Linked DNA regions of Sus scrofa. The protein of the gene in region 1 purifies or fractionates together with the protein of each later gene. This does not show direct contact. Links are inferred from orthologs where the notes say so. Each region holds a gene or a part of one and is shown on either strand. Other genes may lie near its edges.

Region 1 (4,525 bases):
GTTTTATGTGACCCTAGTCTCATACTCAGTAACTTTGAACAAATACACTAAAATGCATTTGATGACACATACTTATGCCATCACCACTGTTAACTCACAGTATGAATCGCCTAACATTTACCGGCCACCTACAATTTAAGTAGTAGGCTATAGCCTAGTCTCTGGGGAACAAGATGTATATTTGTCACTACCCTAAAGAGTTTTTAATACAACTCAAGAAAAGTAGATGACACAATAAGGAAAGCTGGGGAGTTCCCATTGTGGCTCATTGGATTACCAACCCAATGTGTATCCATCAGGATGCGGGTTTGATCCCCAGCCTCCCTTAGTGGGTTAAGGACCCCATGTTGCCAGGAGCTTCAGTGCAGATTTGCACAGGCAGCTCGGATCCTGTGTTGCTGCAGTGTAGGCCGGCAGCTGCAGCTCCAATTTGACCCTTAGCCTAGGAACTTTCATATGCCATAGGGGCGGCCCTAAAAAGCAAATAGAGAAACAGTAACAGTGAAAATAAGGAAAGCTGAACAGTGTGATTGGACTGTTCAAAATATCAAATGAGTGGTAAAGACGGCAGGTTTTCTATAACACACGTGGAAAACCAAGCATATACAACAACTATAGAAATACTTTTCTAATGTTAAGCCACACAAATTAAGCGGTGTCTGAAATCGAGAGTACTTTGTCTTGAAAAGTTTTACGTACCGTTCTTAAAGATAACTGGTGCTCATTTTCATCATTATCCACCTTAAAGTGGTAATCTTTATCGGCCTTTAGTTCACAACCTGTAAATGAGGAAACAACCCTACTATAACAAGGAGAAAAATAACACTGAATGAAACGTCACTGTGGGTAACCAAAAGTTACTTGATTTTACTATTCTATTCTAGCTACCAAAAAGCAAGGCAGAAGTACCTCTTACAGGCCTTCTTGAACACACAAGTCTATAAACATCAAATAACATCCATATAGAGCAAATAACTTTCATAGTTTTATAAATTCCTCCTTTCCATCATACTATTTTATGCTCAACTACACTCTTCTTAGGTGGAAACAGTATCAAAGATTTAGTAAAAGCTGGAACTTAAACCAAACCTAACATATGTTGATAAAAACCCCACTATTTTAAAAAGTTGAATTACCTACCCCAACTCCCAGGAGGAGTGCCAATTTAGAAATGACAGTGGTTACACAAACACATACATCGACAGCTTGTATTTACAACACAGAAAGACTACAAAGTAGGAGAACTAAAGGTTGTTACACGGGTCCACAATCCATCTCTGAACTAACAAGTGATATATATAAACTCTGTTCAGAAATTATATCTAAGGCAAAACTAGAAATATCCCAGGGATATTTCCGAGGGTAAACACAAACGTTTTTGATATAAACTGATCAGAAACTCCAGCTTTTCAAACCGGCTAAGAATAAAACCCTTAATGTATAGCGCATGTTACCATTACCACTCATGAATAGGCAAACTGATTTTAATAGTCAGAACTAAATTTTAATTTAAATAATACCATTTAATTGCCATCTACTTATTTACTGCAAGAGATGTATAAATGTTCCTGCTCAATTAACATATCTCAGCACGATATATAACAAAATGAACTTGAAGGCATTTGCACTTCTTCAAAACCTAACCGAAAAAAAATGGCTTTAACAATTAAGTTTAGTGAAGTTGAAAAACCAACCCAAGTCTCCTAGGATGGCACTGTGTGATTGAGGTGAGCAACAAAACCTTGGTAATAGAACTACAAGTTTAACAGAAGGCTGCCTCTGCTGCCCACCTCCCAAATCATTTGTAAAGCACCAGCTCTGGAAGCAAGCGTTGTGGGGTTGGAACTATTAAGTGCAACCTTCAGTTTTCCGAGTATCAGTAAGTCATCTGCAAAGAGCGCGGAGAGATAGAAAAAGAACTCTAGAACTACCAGCACTGATGTTAACCACTTAACAAAGACCTCAAGAGTACTGGCGCTACGAACCACTTCACCTAAAATTTCCCGTCCACCATCCTCAATTAAGCCCCAGGACCCCAGGCTCGGAGTGACAAGACACCAGTGAACCCCGGATGTAGCGCCCACACCCCTCCTTCCCCCAACCACGTGGCAACCACGTGCTCCCAGCGGTAGCGGCCTCCCCACGCCGGGCCGCGGCTCCCATCCCCCTGTAACCGGCCGAAGAACCCGGGCCGAGTCTGGGCCCTAGACCTCCTGACCCTTTAGGCCTGTAGGACAACGCCAGGCTCCATTTGTCCTCTCCGTCCAGATAGGAAGCCCACGTCTCACACCCTGATCCCCCACAATCTCTTGCACCACCAACCTGGAGTCCAGCATCAGGCACTAGTCTGGAATCAGAAGCCTACCAACTCACGCAACCCCAGGAAAAAATTATGCCCGGAGCTCTACCACGTGCCCCAGCTAACGCCCAACCCTAAACCGGTGGGTTCCACATTAACTCAGGCCCTGGGCCTCGGACCGCTCACGCTTCAGGCCGCCCTTACTTCCCAGTCACTCCGTGGTGCCGGCTCGCCCTCCCAGGTCCCCATCCTTAAGCTTCAGGACCCCAGCAGCTCGCTTCCCACTCCCGCAGGCCTCCAGCCTGCTTAGCTTTCTCCACCTGCCCAGGCCTCAGTGTGATTTCCACCACCCACTCCAAAGCCACCAGGCCGCGCTCGGCCTTGGCCCAACACGCCAGTACTTACCGAAAAGATAGTTCTGAGGCCTCAGGGGGCTCATGTCCATATCCATCGAATCTTCCATGGGTTGGTGGCACGCACTTGGGTGGGAGAGAAGGCGGACGGAGATAATCCACTAGTGTTGCGGAGAACAGCCGCGCAGGACGGAATCACACCAGGGAAAGGACGCGGGCTCCCTGCGCACATATATAGCACCCTGACGATCTCGCGAGAGCTCTTCAAGTCCCGCCTCCGCGCGCGTGCTCGGAAGCCCCCCTCCCCGCACAGTCTCTCTCCTGCGCAAGCGCTCTTCAACATCACTCCTTGCTACCTCGCCCCCCACCTCCTCCAGGTACTTCGCGGGCTCCCACCGAGCACGCGCATTCGTACCCTGGTCCCACCCACTTCGCCGCCACCGCCTGTGCGCACGCGTACTTCCCCCTCGTAGCGCGCGTTCCCCCACCCTCCAAACCTTCCACGTCCTCTCCCGCTCAGGAGCGCGGGCCTTGCGCCAAGAGCCTGCGCAGCCCACCCTGCAAAATGGCGGCAGCAACTCTTAGCTGGGTTAGGTACGAAGGGCGAGCTGGTTGTAAGTGAACCAGAGAGCAGCTCATTTCTCCTTTCGCCATCTCCTCATGCCTCGCAGGCCTGCAAACAGGCATAACCACTTCCAGTTTTTTGGCTCGCCTGAAGGCCTGAGCCCAGAGTTCATTGTTTCCCCAAAGTTAAAGCTTAAGGTGCCAGAGACAGTGGACTACGGATTGCCACTTGTTGGGGAGAAAAGATGTAGCTGCTGGCCAGACTTAATCGGTTCTGTTTTTAACCCCCTGTCCTTTCTGAGGAAACATCTCCGAATTTAAAATTCTTCGACATTACGTCACTGGGAGGCCAACAGGGGGTTCTAAATCGGTCTCTTTCATATGAGCAGGGCAGGAACCAAGCCTGGGTGATTTCTCCAAAGAGAAAGTTTTAAAAGGGTTGTGTATCCACCGTATGTCCCCACGTAACAGGTAAGAGGCAGATGTGACTATCCCCATTTTGCGGACAGGGAGACGCGCCACGAGGAAGTAAGGTGCCCAGACGGAGTGGTTACAGAAACAGGGTTCTCTAGCTCCAAGTCTAATACTAACACCTGTCTAAAAGCTCGGGGGATTACACGGGGGTCCAGTGTCTGAGGTTGTGCAGTTCTTAATCTTTAACATCACTAAGGTTGTTCTGGCCTGAAAAGAAGGCATTTGACGTTTAAGAAATACACAAACTTAGACTCTGGAAGCGAGCCTGGAAATGAGTATCTTAAAGTACGCTGTCAAACTGAGGACCACCCTTCCCCCAACCGCAGCTCCTCGGGCAGGGGTGCTGAAGATCCCCACAATTATGGTTTTTACACAAATTTAAAAAATTAAAGTACTGTAAAGAATAAAAATAGTGACAGCAATCCCCTACCGCCTTTTCTCCAAACATAGGCTACTTGGGAAGATAAACTGTGATACGCATGAACCAATAATTAACAGAATCAAAATTCAAAATGTGGAGAAATCAATGCTTATTTGTGAATGGACTAAGCTGTTCTCCGCTTTTCCCTGCTCCCAACTGAAAAAAGTCTTTACCAGCTTGGTTCTAGCATCTTTTAAAATGCAGAGTGTGACCAATTACTAGAGAAAAAAACCGAGTCTTGGAAAGTTACTACGGATTGCCACTTGTTGGGGAGAAAAGATGTAGCGGAGAACATCCGTAAAGGAACTGAGAAAGGCTGATAAAAGGGAGGAGAGGACTGTGCCTGAGGCGGATTTAGAGGTGTTAGAATGAGAGAGAGAAAGAGCTACAGGGGAGTGGAGAAGGGGTTAATGT
Region 2 (4,736 bases), on another chromosome or scaffold:
AAGCCTGAATACTGACCAGAGTTTTAATCTATTATGAGGCTGTTTGCAGACTTTTCTTAGTTGGTCATGACACCTCAGTTTTCAGTTCCTCTTAGTGGCTTACAGGGATTCTTTGTCACCTCCAGAGCTGCTCTGCATGATTGTCACCCCTCTCTTGCCTAAGCAGAGGCACCATGTACAAGCGCAACAGATGGGCATCATTTGTGCACAACTACCTCTTAGGCATTCCCTGTCTTTACAATGGTTTGAACCCAACACTCCATCTAGAGTTTTGTTTATAATGTTAAGAGTTCACTAGGCCCTTACAGACTTCTGTTCACCTTTCAGGAATGATCTGAAAAACATGGTGAAAACTGACCTATCTCAGAAGAATGATCAGAAATCAACAACACATTGAGAGCACTGTCTAACTTCCCAGAAAAAGCCAACCATTCCCTCCCATGGCCCCACTCTACCCCTTATGCACATCTACCATGGTATCTGTAGTACTTCTGTATACTTATTTCTTAAACACCTGTCTTTTTTTAGTAGAAGGGCCATGTGTTATTACCCACTGTCACTCTATATCCTCACACAGTGATTTAGTAAATGCTGAAATCAATAAGGATTAACAACATGGCCTACGAAAGTGATTATATAGAAAAGGTTGGGGAGCAGGGGAGACTCTTAGACCAGGACATGGCGTGAAGGTGAGTGACCAGTACACAGAAAGAAGGTGGAACTTATCCAATGACCATCCCCACCCCCTATAAACTACAAAGGCATATCAAATATATACTTTTTTCTTTTCTATAAATACATTTGGAAGGGGTCACCCACGCCACTCCTACCTCATTAGTCCCTGTCCCTATTAGTCTTTTCTAAATAAAAAGGATATCATTGCTACCCAGTACCTGTGGCTGGTAAACAGCTGTCTAGACCAGCCATTATCACTCTAGCTCAAAGCAAGAGCTCTTTCTGGAGCCAGAAAGTAGGATTTTTAGAGGGCTTCGATGGGCAGGAGGCAGGCAGCTAAGAATCAAACAAGACAAAACAGGCGTCTACAGTAGTTATAATCATGCTAGTAGGAACTAAGTGCCCCAGCCAGGCATGTACAGGAGTTTGGGGAGGCTGACAACACTCCTATGCCTGAGCACGCATCAGAGACTCCTGCTGAGAAACACAATAAAATGTCCACCTGGGTAGTAAATATCATGTAGACAGGATGCAGGGCTGGGCTAAGAGGTGGAAGAAGCCTCTCTGCCCCTCAAGAGTTCCTGACCAGAGAGGAGTCCTCCAAGCTCTCTGAGGGTGCAGGGGCTCCAAAGATCCTGGCAAGAAGCCCTCGATTGGAGCGGGCCTGTTCCTCAGCATTAGCCAGGCGAGCCCGTTCACGTCCTCCTGGCCGAGCTGCTTTCCGGGCTCTCAACTCCTGCTCAGTAGGACGCTGGGCGAAGGCCCAGGAGCCATTCGGGCGGGTAGAGTCCCCATCAGCAGCAAGGAAACGCTGTCCACGCTCCACACTTCGAAGATAGAAGTCAGTCTCACGTTTGGCCTGGGCAACCTCCGCCCTCAGGCGCTGCCTGCGCACCTGGCGCTCAAAGGCAAGATGCTCGCTGAGGTGGGACCAAGTAAAACGGTGCAGGTACTGTGGACAGGAAAACAAGAGAAGATCTGGGTAGGGCAGGTCAGAGATGGAGAAGAGATGGGAGGAACAGGGCCACCGAGAGGTTATAGAGGTCCAAGGGCTGGGGCTGGGAAGGCAGGAGTATGAGCTGTGGGGTAGACAAGCCAATGCCCTCACCTTGAGGTTCCACAGGTCATAACGGAAGGGACTGCGCCTGCGGGAGCCCATGGGCGTGTTGTGCAGACTGGCCGCCACACGCTTGGCTACTCGCTTGTCTCGGAACTCCACCCAGCCCTCGGTGTAGTCCTTGCTGTACTTGGAACGCTTTTTCCCTCCTGTGGTGGAGGCTGCTGCTGCCTTCTTTTTGCGCCTCACGAAGCCGTCTGCGAGCCAAAGGGAGAGCAGTGGTCAAGCAAGCCGACGCAGCACCCACTCAATTGTACCTTCCACTTGCCGAAGTCTCCAAATCTGCCCAAGGGCCAGGATCCCACCCCAAGATCTTTGCTCAGAAAAGGAGAACTGAAAGGTCCACCCTTTCTCCCTTGTCTAATTCAATCCTTTGCTCAGATGTCAACTCCTTAATCAGATCTGCCCTGAACATTCTATATAAAACCAGCATGGCCCTCTAACCCTAATTCCAATTTAGGGTTATAAGAAGTTGCAGACGGCTGACCGTACGTATACCGTCTTTTGACCTGGACCGCGATGGCAAAGGGTTATGTTCAGTTTTGTGGAAAAGCCACTGGGATTTTACTGCAGGCTATACCCATTTAACAAACTGGTAAATTCGTCTCGGGAAAGAGGGATTGGGGAAGCCGAAATTAAAATCTAAAAGTTAGCTATTCGAAAACTAAGGCTCAACTAGTCATACTGCGCTAACCACACCTCAGGCCCACCTCCTAAGGAAAGTGTGGACTACCTATTTACTAAAAAAGCCACACGCGGGGCCCCGGCTCGGTTCGTGCCTGGGATCCGCGCAGCCGAGGCAACAGGACACGCACTGTGTGCTCACCATCTGCAAGCATCACCCTCCACCCCTCATCACCACTGCCTCAGCACTTACCTTCCGGCTGGAAAAACACACGCCCGACCTCGCCGTAGGCGCTAAGAAGGTTCCGTACGTGCAAAGGCCTAAACCGGGGTGGGATGTGGCCCAGGTACACAATACCCGGCACTACCCGTTTCTTGCTGCCGCCAGCCGTTTCTTCAGATTCCTCCTCTGCTTCTGGTTTCTGGTCGTTCCCTTCCACAGGCTCCAACACAGCGGCTTCCTTATTCGACTCCTCTGCCTCCATGCTTGCCGGTAAGTAAAGCAAGACAGCCGTAAGGCGCCGCGCCTCTGACGCGCACCGTTTACGACTTCCTGCGTCGAGGGGGCGGGGTTTGTCCAGGGGTTGACAAATGAAAGAACAGGATTGTTCGGAACGGGCGGTTCCAGGCCTAACGGCGACGGCGGAAGTGGGCCCCGGGTCAGCCGGGAGATTCGAAGCAAGGGAGCAGCATCAGAGGATTAGGAGAGGCGAAATGACTTGACTCCTGAGCTGAAGAGGCAGAACTGGAGAGGTAGACCACCAAGTACAACTTACAGTACAGAACTCCTTGGTGAAATGTAAAAAGATGGGATGAGGAGGGCTCTTCCGGAAATTTTGGAGGACTCTGTGTTCTAGCAAGAACACAACATAGTATTTTACCCAAGGGGCTCAGGTGCGACTCAGGTTGGGGGATGACGCAATTTGTAAAGTTTACTTAAATTTCAGTTTTTTTAATTAATTAATTGAGTTTTGAAATTTTAATTATTTTTCAAAATTTAACTTAGGGATTTGAAGATTTCAAATTGAAGTTTGGAAATGTAACCTAACTTTGGAAATATAAGTTTTGGAAATCTGGCTACATTTTTGAAAATTTCATTTGTGAGCTATTAGTTTAAAAAAATTTATTTTAAAATATTTTTAAATTTGATTTTGTGAAGTTCCCATCGTGGCGCAGTGGTTAACGAAGCCAACTAGGAACCATGAGGTTGCGGGTTTGATCCCTTGCCTTGCTCAGTAGGTTCAGGATCCGGCGTTGTCTTGAGCTGTGGTGTAGGTTGCAGACGCGGCTCGGAGCCCGCGTTGCTGTGGCCCTGGAGTAGGCTGGCGGCGACAGCTCCGATTAGACCCCTAGCCTGGGAACCTCCACATGCCGCGGGTGCGGCCCTAGAAAAGGCAAAAAGACAAAAATAAAATTTGATTTTGTAAGATGTCTAAAAATTTTGAATGCATGACGATTATTTCTTTTAAAAAAAACTTATTTGGTGCCTGTTTTACGTTTGTATTGATACATGATTCATATTTATACTTACGTTACAAATACCTGTCGTCAAATGTGTACATGGTCCTGATTTAGGCCCCCTCCTGGATCACCGAGCTTTATTCTCTCTGGGACTTATTTTCACGGTTTGAGGGCCCAGGGTGGGCCACCCCAAAATGTGCCTGAATGGCATATTGGTTATTTTGAATTAATGTTTACTGAAGACATGGTCAATACAAGGGGAACTCTCTAACACTTCTTTCTGTTTCCCTGAAAGCAGGAAATAAATCTCTCATGTGAAATGTGCACTCCCTGCATTTGGGGGTAGAAGGACACCATTATCACCAAAGAGAGAGAATTCTTGGCTAAGGATGCATAAACCGTACTTTAATTTAGTACCCCAAGTCCAAATTCTACTTGAGCCTTCACTAATTGGGAACCAGCGTTTCTCTATCCTGTCAGTTCCTCATAAATTTATTGTTTCTTTGTCTAAAAAGTGTAAAAGCTGTCTGCTTTGGCCACTTCTTAGGTGCCGTTTCTATGAGACCTCCAGGCTCATGAATTAAAATTGTTTCTTTCTCTCCTGTTAATATCTAGTATCAATTTTATTGCGGCGTGTCCAACCACAAGATCTCGAGGAGTAGAGGGGGACATTTCCCCTCCCTGACAAAAGATTTGCCCTTAGATCACAGACTGATTTTCACTGTGCGTTGAAGCCATTCATCACAAGAACTGCCACAGCCCACGCTGTACCCAGCTGATGGCTGGGCCCTGAGAGCTGTGCCTTCACCAAACCCGAGGCCGCTTTTTACCCCCGTGACGCGCCCACTAGGGGGCGCAA
Region 3 (4,651 bases), on another chromosome or scaffold:
AGCCTACACCACAGCCATAGTTAACTCCAGATCTGAGACGTGTCTGCAACCTACACAACAACTCCTGGCATTGCCGGATCCTTAACCCACTGAGCAAGGCCAGGGGGATCGAACCTGCAACCTCATGATTCCTAGTCAGATTCGTTTCCACTACGCAATGACGGGAACTCCTAAAATATTTTTTTAAGTTGTGAAACAGATTGTCAGATACGTTACACATGTATGCAGAAATCTAGTTTTTAACCAGTGAACTTCAATGATTTCTAAATTCAGTTAAGGAAAAAGAAGAGACTGAAGGTATTTTTTTTTTTAAGACCCCCCCCCCAAAATGAAAAAAAGAAAAACCACCCTATAATGTAAGGGAAAAAACAAAAACTAAAACTATTCAGTGAAAAGGTGGATAAAACTACTGATATTCCTATACTGAGAAGGTAAAAGATAACTAAATCATTCTTTAATAAATAAAAATTGTCAAACATCTTTTTTTAAGACTATGACAGGGCAAGATACGTGGGGAAATGGTCAGCTTCAGAGCCAGACCTGGGTTCTATCACAGGTTCTACTTACCAGAAGACTCAATTTTCTCATTTGGCAAATAAAAATACCACTGACTTCATATGGTCCTTGTTATATCCTTAATAATCATAGTTAAACTTTTATTCCACTTTAACTTTAAAAATAGCAACTGAAGCCAAAATATTCAGTTTAGGCTTTAAATTATTCTGCTTTCTGATTCTGTAACACCCCTAGTGAGACTGTGCTTGTTATTCCAAAATTTGAATGACAGCCCCCTTTGAGAAGCTGAGAACAGCAAAACATCAATTTGTTCAGAACGGTATATTTACATACAATTGCTTTCAATGTCAGACTTTCAAACCCCCTTAGGCCAGGAAGCAGGAATCCACGTTAACCCTGATAATTCAAAAAACGATTTAAAACCTAAAGAGAAAAATAGGCAACACCAGACAGGAATTTGAAACAAATCTCAAGACACCGAAAACTACAGAATACCAGAAGTCCTATTCTATCGAGGTCCACCTTCACCTAAAAGTTCTTCCAAAAACTAACGTGTTACTTCATCCTAGACTAGACCGCTGGGGCCCAAATAAAACTACTGCGCCAAATGCTTCAATGGTAAACCGCGCTACCATTTCCTTATTGCGTTAATTCTGCAGCAATGTTCATTTTTAAAGCAGTATTACCTTAGCTCAATCTATCTAAGGATGGAAAAGTCCCAGAAATCTCTGGCCTGCGACTATAACATATATCAAAACAGATCGAAAGCCAAGAATAAAATTTGGAAGGAGCAAGCAATCACTTTGTTCCCAGACATCGCAAAGCCTTGGAGCACACCCAAGAGACCCGCCTGGCTGTTCCCCAATCTTTCCACCCCCGCAGTATTGTCACCATCCCCTGGCCGGCCAACCCCAGCCCAGAAGGCAGGCTCCGCGGCAGGGAGGGGTACCAATTCTCAAATACAGGCCAATGCCCTACAGGAGTGCTGGTCTGAAAACCCCCAACCCCCCCCCAACCCCTGACTCACTAAATCATTCATCCTTCCATCCATCACCCCACCCCCAAATTAGATGGGGGTTCCAGACAGCTGCCGCTGCCTTGGTCGCTTCCCTCCCAATGGAACAGCGCCTGGGAGGAGCCTCCTCTCCCTTCACAGGAGCAGCTGCGCCCCGCTTATCCCCACTGCGCCCTCAGCCATCCAGCTCTCGCCATTGTTTCTGCCCAGAACAGATACCGCCCCCGCAAGGACCGGGATGAAGAAAAGGAGGCCCAAATCCTCGGATGCGCTGCTTTTAAATGCCTTCCCCACCCCGTCCGTCTACCCTCGTTCCTAAAGGGAAATCTCCCTCCCCCTCCCCCCAGGTTTAGTGGAAACTAAAATCGAGATTCAGAGATGGGCGAGGGAATTATGGGAGCCTCACTTAAAAAAAAAAGTCGGCAGATCCGTCTCGGCCTCAGTAATCAAGAACATGTGTCTAATAAGAGCGTTTGAGGATTTGGCAAGGTTCGCGAAAGAGACAAATAACGCAAATATGAGGTGCCAGAGACCCAGCTGAGTCTACTTGCATAGGTAAGCAGAAGGGCGCAAGGGAGAGCATCATTTCGGATCATCCAAGGGTCTGAGGCCGAGTTTGGGTGCAGAGGAGTGAAGTTCGGCTTCGCGTTTTATCACCAATACACAGCAGAGGGAACCAGTTCCTCCTCCCTATCCCGCCCTCTCCCCATGCCACAGGCCGTCCTTACCTCCATCTCGGAGTCCGTGGGGCCGGCGCCGGCCGCGGAGGGAGCCGCCGGGACGCCGAAGCCCTCGGGGCCGCCTTTGTTGCTGTTGTTGCTCCCGCTACAGGCGGCGGAGGATGCGGGCTTGGAAGGCGCGCTCTCGGGAGGCGGGGGTGGCGGAGGGTCGGCCGCGGACGACATGATGTTCCGTCTGCGTCACCCGCTGCTGCCAGAGGCCCGGCCCAGCAGGGATGAGGAGGAGGCCTAGGCCTGGGTGGCTACGTCGCAGTGAGCCGATGGAGGAGCGGAAGGACCACCCGAATGCTTCCTCTCCGCAGCTCGGCGACGAGCCCAAGCCAGGCCCAGGAGCCTCCCCCTCTAGCTGTCCTCCTCTTCCTCCCGGCTCTGGGTTCGACCGGCGCTTTACCTCACGGCGGGAATCACGTCGACGAGGGTGGGCGGGGCCACCCGGGTCACTGAGGTCAGAGAAGGCAGGCCGATTTACAGGAGGGCGGAGAGTTGGGGGAAAAAGAAAGGAAAGCAAGAAGGACCAAGACCAGGAACTAGCCTAGCCGCCTCCTCTTCTTCCTCTGGTAGATATCAGGTATCTCGCCAGCATCCAGGTCTACTACCTACGCCACCGACTTTCAACACTCGCGAGATTGATAGTTAGCTAAGAGACCGGGGTTTCAAAGTACGCATGCGCATTCTCTACTCCAAGCTCTTGGCCACGCCCCCTGTGCCCCTACGGGCTCTAGGGCGATGAGTGGGCGGGGCCTCAAAGGAGGGCTCGGAGACGTAAGTTTGTGCGTCGGTTTCCGGGCGTGACGCCACCGCAGTCTTACAGTCGTTCTTAACGGCTCGCTGTGCCGGGTCGCTGTGCTTCCCCAGCTTGGCAGTAATCCCAGCGCTGCTCGAAAAATTGCCCGGGTCTTGCGCCGCCTGCTGCAGCGTAGAGGCTTCTGCAGGCCTCTCTTTTACCGCCTCCGCTTATTGGCGTGACGCCACAGAGTTGACAATGATACGGTTTTCCCAGTTGACGTCTCACTGTTTTGTTGTCTAAGAAGAGTGCCTGTTAGTGTGATTTTTGTTTGTTTTGTCATCCTTATGTTAGCTATATGATTGATCATTTCTAAATTCCTTCTTCGGTAGAGTTAGACGATATTTCCTCTAAGTTTACATGCTAAAAGTAAGCAAACTGCGCCAACCACCATGTGAGAAACAAGAGTAATTAGCAGATAAGAAAGAGAGGTAATAGGTTATATCTTTTCCTCAACCACCAAATATTAAATAAAAACAGACATTCTTCTAAAAAAGTGTTACAAGTAATCACTGGTTTGTACATTGCTTTACGCTATGTTCAACACAGCCTTTTGCATCCACCTACTGCAGAATTTAAGCACATGGTGTTCTATTTGACAGCAAATCTGCATACTGCACTAAATTGTTATTTGCCCTGCATAGGCTCTTACTCATCTTTATATCCCCATATCCAATATTCTATTAGTACGTATTGAATAAAGGAGACAAACTTGTCAAGAGTCAAGGTTTGACCAAACCATTGACTATGCTGAATTACAAACAGAAGGGATTTCCTTTGAATATTTAACCTGCAAACTTTTAACCAATTCAATGATAATTCTTTGAGATCTGGAAGAATGTTCCCCAGCCTATTAGAAATGCCCTGTCTGAGACTCTAGGGAACCCCCAAGGATAGATAAAAAGAAAACTATATAAATGATGATCATCATCGTCTTTATATGTACTTGAGAAATGCTAGCACAATATAGTCCAACATTGAAAGTTTGATTTTAAAACTGTTGTATACCACAAAGTGAATTATTATTAACTTGTAACAACCAGACTGTAGAAAAAAGTTTATTATATAGTAGTAACTAAAAAATTTTAACAGTTCAAAAATATAGATAAAACTTTGGAAGGATAGTCCTAAAATTATTGAAAGTGATTGTTGTTGATGTATATTACCTAATTCATTTTTGTTTCTCTTTTTTTATTTTTCTAAAATGAGTTTGTGTATTATTATTTATTTTATTTTATTTTTTTGCTTTTTAGGGCTGCACCCTGGGTATGTGGAGTTCCCAGGCTAGGGGTCCAATTGGAGCTACAGCTGCCAGCCTACACCATAGCAATGCAGAATCAGAGCCATGTCTGTGACCTACCCAACAGTTCACAGCAAGGCCAGATCCTTAACCTGCTGAGCAAGGCCAGATATTGAACCCGCAGCCTCATGGTTACTAGTCAGATTCATTTCTGGTGCACCGCAACGGGAACTCCGAGTTTGTATATATTGAACAAACTTATTTTTTAATATTTAAAAAATCATTTTACCAAAAAGATTATATGGGAGGGTAAAAAGGTAGTGTCTAGGGTGGTAGCCGACATATAGACACTCAAT
Region 4 (4,700 bases), on another chromosome or scaffold:
TTGCTGTGGCTCTCGGGTAGGCCAGTGGCTACATCTCTGATTCGACCCTGAGCCTGGGAGCCTCCATATGCTTCAGGAGCGGCCCTAGAAAAGGCAAAAAGACCAAAAACAAACAAAAAAAACCCCCAAAACAAAAAAACAAACCCCCAAAAAACCACTGCATTCTCACTTCCATAATTTTAAAGATGAAAAAGGTTATTTCTGCTTCTATAGCTTTATTTTATTTTTTGCTTTTTAGGGTTGCACCATGGCATGTCGAAGTTCCCAAGCTAGGGGCTGAATCTGAGCTGGAGCTTCCAGCCTACGCCACAGATCACAGAAACACCGGATCCTTAACCCACTGAGCAAAGCCAGGGAATGAATTCATGTCCTCATGGATCCCAGTATGGTTTGTCACCCCTGAGCCACAATGGGACCTCCCTGCTTCTACAACTTTAAAGGCAAAACATAGGGTTGAATTCACTTAATTGAAGGATTAAATGTTCAAGCAAGTTACCTTTGTAAATTCGGGATTAAATAAAATTTTAGTGATTACATGACAAGCTATTCATTATACATTGTCCGTGTAGCACTGACTCTCAAGCTTTTCTGGGGTTCCCAACCTCTAATGTAAACTACACTTCTTCAGAAACACATGCCCGACACATTCTGCATGTTATGAAAAGGACATGATTTATTTTCCAATTCAAAGTGTGTTCAGGAGTTCCTGTTGTGGCTCAGTGGTTAACAAATCTGACTAGCAACCATGAGGCTGCAAGTTCTATCCCTGGCCTCGCTCAGTGGGTTAAGGATCCAGCATTGCCATGAACTGCGGTGTAGGTTGCAGACTCTGCTCGGCTCTGGCGTTGATGTGGCCGTGGTGTAGGCCACAGCTACAGCTCCAATTAGACCCCTAGCCTGGGAACCTCCACATGTCGTGGGAGCAGCCCTGGAAAAGGCAAAAAAGACCAAAAAAAAAAAAAAAAGGTCCAGATGCTTCACGTTATCATGCATTATTCCCATCTTGTCCAGAAAGAAAAACAAAGACATTAGTTTAGATCAGGACTGTCAGTTCATTTATTGTAATAAGACTGCCCCCATAAAACCTATTTTGCTAACCTCACGATAACACCTGTTTCTAACTCTTATTATTTTAGTGGACAGTCCTGCTTTTACCACAAGCATTTAATACCTAATTTAAAAACAGCTCACAAAAACCTGTGACAAGATGAGACCAAAGTGCCATTTTCATTCTGGTGCAGTTATCATTCAACTGGGAAGTGTACTATATCTGGGAATATTCCCATAATAGAAATCACAGAGCGAACCTTTCTTCCTCACAGAGAAAATGTTGGGTCTTGTGCACAGTAAAGAGGGGCCAAGACACACTGCTCTAGGGGATACACGTTCTACAGGCCTGGCCGCTTCCTAGGCTCTCATTTTAAAGTCTCACAGCAACCCTGTGAGGCAAACCTTTATTCCTGTTTTACAAGAACCAAAGCACGGAAACTTAACTCTGAATAATGTCAAGTTGCACAAACTCAGAACTCACACTATTCTCCATTAGTAAATCTCTGGTAAACAAAAACTTCTAAAACCCCACACAAGTTTCAAACTTTGGCGGAACAGTCAACTTACAATATTCCAGAAATCTTACCATTTTTCGAAGTTTAACAACTCGGGTACCACCATTCTTGTCACCACCAACGGGTTTTGTGACAGTAGCAAGAACTCTCACCTTCTTTTTCTTTTCAACCTATCAGGGCACAAATGCATCAAAAAGTCAGAGTCGCACACTTCAAGACCAAATGGTCAGTGGTTCCCCTCATCCCTTACCTTGGATTTAGCTGCTGAATACTTCCTCTTGTACAAAGCCTTTCTGGAATACATAGCCGATCGGGAATATCTGCCAATTCCTCTGACCAGGACAGGGTTTCGGCTGCAGTGGGGCTTCCCCTTCTTAACCTTCTTAGCCTTTTTAACTTTACCACCAGCATCAGCCTTCTTGGCTTCAGGCTTTTTCTCCTTAGTTCCTGGCTTCTCAGCTTTTTCACCCGCCATCTACCAGTGGGTACATTTTAAAGAAGGTATTTCACCATTTATCTCAGAGCTGTACATGAACAGACTTCCTAGGGGACAAGTCCTCATCCTCCCTCTTCAACTAGCTGTTAACATCCTTTACATCCCTCCCACTACAAGACCATAGGCCTTCCTCCAAATTCCCACGTCTGCAACATCCATCACGGTTGTCTCCCCAATACACTGTAACTTTTTGGACGATCTGAAGACTGAAGACTATCCCACACCTGTTAGGTGCTTGCTGCATATTTAGCAGTCACAAGTCCCTATTCCATTCCTCTTTTGCGAACTAGAAGTCCAGAAACAGAGCTTTACCAATCTCCAGTTAGGATGCCGAAGATAGAACTTGAAATCATTTGCTTTCAGGGCTTTTGCTTTTATCAAACTGTCTCACTCAAGAAATTCTGTTTAGAAGGCGAAGACACACACGATTTGCCCAAACTGAAAAAAGCGCAAAGCGCAAGGAGCGACTTCCGGTCACAGACGTGGAGACGGGAAAATCAGCATTGGCCACAGACTCAAATACACAACGTGGCTGGGACAAGCTCGGCGGCGTCTTCTGGAACCCAAACTCGAGATTCCGGAACGCGCGCTGTCGCCCTGGCCCCTGAAGCCCACTAGCCCGCTACGGATCCCTGGAGGGACCTATTCCTTCAGTCCGGGAGGGTGCCGGGCTGCCAGAGCCTATTCGGCATTCCGCTTCACCCTCTACGTGCCCCATTGTAAACCCAAGCGAGATAAATAAGCGTCTAGGAGGTCTCCCAGTTGGCCCTGACGCGTCCGACACCCCGCAGATGTCGACTTGATACCCTCCGAGTTAGGATGGCGAAGGATAGGGGTCCTGAAATCGAGTCTTGCAGAGAACCCCGCCATTCTTACCTTGCAAGATGGGAAAGAGAACTAAGGCCTCAGCTTCCGGTCTATAAGCGATCACGGGAGGTGTGGAGTCTCATTTCCTTCCGGATCTGAGGCATGATGGGAAGTGTAGTTTCCCACCTTTGTCCTGTATACGGAGCTGTTTTTCTTAATAGGAGGCGAAAGCGGAGAACGTTTTGTCTGAAAAAGCCTCATTTAATAGCCCAATAAAATTCTCAGAGTAATTTTGGGAACCTGCATAAAGTTGCAACTTTTTATATTTTGCTTACCAAATATATTAGAAAACACTACCAACGAGTTCCCGCTGGCGTTGTCTCTGCAGCAGCTAGGATTTTATTCCCAGCCCGGTCGCAGTGGGTCCCGAGTAGCCACAGCTGTGGAGTAGGTAGCAGCTGTGTCTTGGATTCGATTCGAGAAACTTCTATATGCAGATCCTAGGAAGCTTCCATGGGCGGAAAAGTGGAGGGGAAGCACTACCATTTTCAATATAAGAAGGTATAGATGGTTGAAGGACCTAATCCTCAATTTAAACGAAATCCCTCCGATGAAAGGGACCTTCCACAGACATTTTCTCCACAGTTGCCTACTGCCTACACCCCCTAAAGCTTAAAAGTAGAGGGTCAAAACTAAAATTTAAAGTAAGTGAAATAGGAGTTCCTGTAGTGGCTCAGTGGTTAACGAATCCGACTAGGAACCAGGAGGTTGCGGGTTTGGTCCTGGCCTTACTCAGCGGGTTAAGGATCCGGCGTTGCCGTGAGCTGTGGTGTAAACCGAAGATGCGGCTGGGATCCCGCATTGCTGTGGCTCTGGGGTAAGCCGGTGGCTACAACTCTGATTAGACCCCCAGCTTGGGAACCTCCACATGCCGTGGGGAGTGGCCGTAGAAAAGGCAAAAAAGACCAAAAAAAAAATAGAAAAATTAATAAATCACTTCTTCTGGGAGGATTTGGAAAGTTTTGCGGGAGATGTTTTTGTGTTGGATTTGGAAAAAATAAGCACAAATCTGGCAGATGAAAGTGGCAACTGGAAGAATAAATGCAAGAGGTATGGAGACATCAAAGAGCATAGTTGTTCTGGGAGTTCCCTGTTGTGGCACAGGGAAATGAATCGATAGTTCCACGCTCAGTGGGTGGGGGATCTGGCCTTGCCCTGAGCTGTGGTGTAGGTGGCAGGCCTGCTCAGATCTTGCGTTGCTGTGGCTGTGCTTTTTTTTTTCTTCTCTTTTCAGGGCCGCATTCTCTGGCATATGGAAGTTCCCAGGCTAGGGGTCCAATCGGAGCTAAGGCTACCCCCTCTACGCCACAGCAACACTGGATCCCAGAAATGTCTGCGATCTACATCACAGCTCATCGCAACTGCCACAGATCTGACAACGCTGGATCTGGGAAGGACTGAGTGAGGCCAGCAATAGAATCCACATCCTCATGTATACTAGTTGGTTCATTTGTGCTGACCCACAACCGGGAACTCCCTTCGGCAAGGATTTCTGGTCACTTTGTACTCTATTCCTTCGTTTCTGAAATGGAGATAATAATATCTAATCTCACCATGCCCAGGGGCACGTGAAATTCCTCTAGCTAGGGTTAAATCCTGTGCCACTGTACCAAGGAGAGTTGCTACAGTGACAGCGCCAGATCCTTAATCTGCTGTACCATGAGGGAACTCCCCAAAGAGTGCATTCTTAACCATTAGTCTGTAAAGATTAAATAGATGTCTAATGAAGATGATTAGAGAGTTCTTTGCTCATAGTAGAAGTAAAAACAGGG

The links. Proteins that work in one complex are often made in the same cells at the same time.
Region 2: the proteins of NPM1 (region 1) and ABT1 purify together in Homo sapiens (co-immunoprecipitation; 3 studies listed by BioGRID and IntAct, with this or other methods). This does not show direct contact. The link is inferred for Sus scrofa from reciprocal best matches to the Homo sapiens genes NPM1 and ABT1.
Region 3: the proteins of NPM1 (region 1) and SMARCA5 purify together in Homo sapiens (co-immunoprecipitation; 3 studies listed by BioGRID and IntAct, with this or other methods). This does not show direct contact. The link is inferred for Sus scrofa from reciprocal best matches to the Homo sapiens genes NPM1 and SMARCA5.
Region 4: the proteins of NPM1 (region 1) and RPL6 purify together in Homo sapiens (affinity purification with mass spectrometry; 4 studies listed by BioGRID and IntAct, with this or other methods). This does not show direct contact. The link is inferred for Sus scrofa from reciprocal best matches to the Homo sapiens genes NPM1 and RPL6.

What each region holds. Positions count from the first base shown.
Region 1 is NC_010458.4:52,778,884-52,783,408, forward strand, and holds the start of NPM1 (nucleophosmin), read right to left. Parts: upstream 2,980-4,525; 5' UTR 2,763-2,979; coding exon 2,705-2,762; intron 780-2,704; coding exon 700-779; intron 1-699. UniProt on the Homo sapiens protein: Involved in diverse cellular processes such as ribosome biogenesis, centrosome duplication, protein chaperoning, histone assembly, cell proliferation, and regulation of tumor suppressors p53/TP53 and ARF.
Region 2 is NC_010449.5:21,022,861-21,027,596, reverse strand, and holds the start of ABT1 (activator of basal transcription 1), read right to left. Parts: upstream 2,957-4,736; 5' UTR 2,902-2,956; coding exon 2,670-2,901; intron 1,990-2,669; coding exon 1,784-1,989; intron 1,628-1,783; coding exon 1,247-1,627; 3' UTR 1-1,246.
Region 3 is NC_010450.4:84,221,988-84,226,638, forward strand, and holds the start of SMARCA5 (SWI/SNF-related matrix-associated actin-dependent regulator of chromatin subfamily A member 5), read right to left. Parts: upstream 2,957-4,651; 5' UTR 2,437-2,956; coding exon 2,260-2,436; intron 1-2,259. UniProt on the Homo sapiens protein: ATPase that possesses intrinsic ATP-dependent nucleosome-remodeling activity.
Region 4 is NC_010456.5:39,300,703-39,305,402, reverse strand, and holds the start of RPL6 (60S ribosomal protein L6), read right to left. Parts: upstream 2,957-4,700; 5' UTR 2,938-2,956; intron 2,041-2,937; coding exon 1,816-2,040; intron 1,736-1,815; coding exon 1,637-1,735; intron 1-1,636.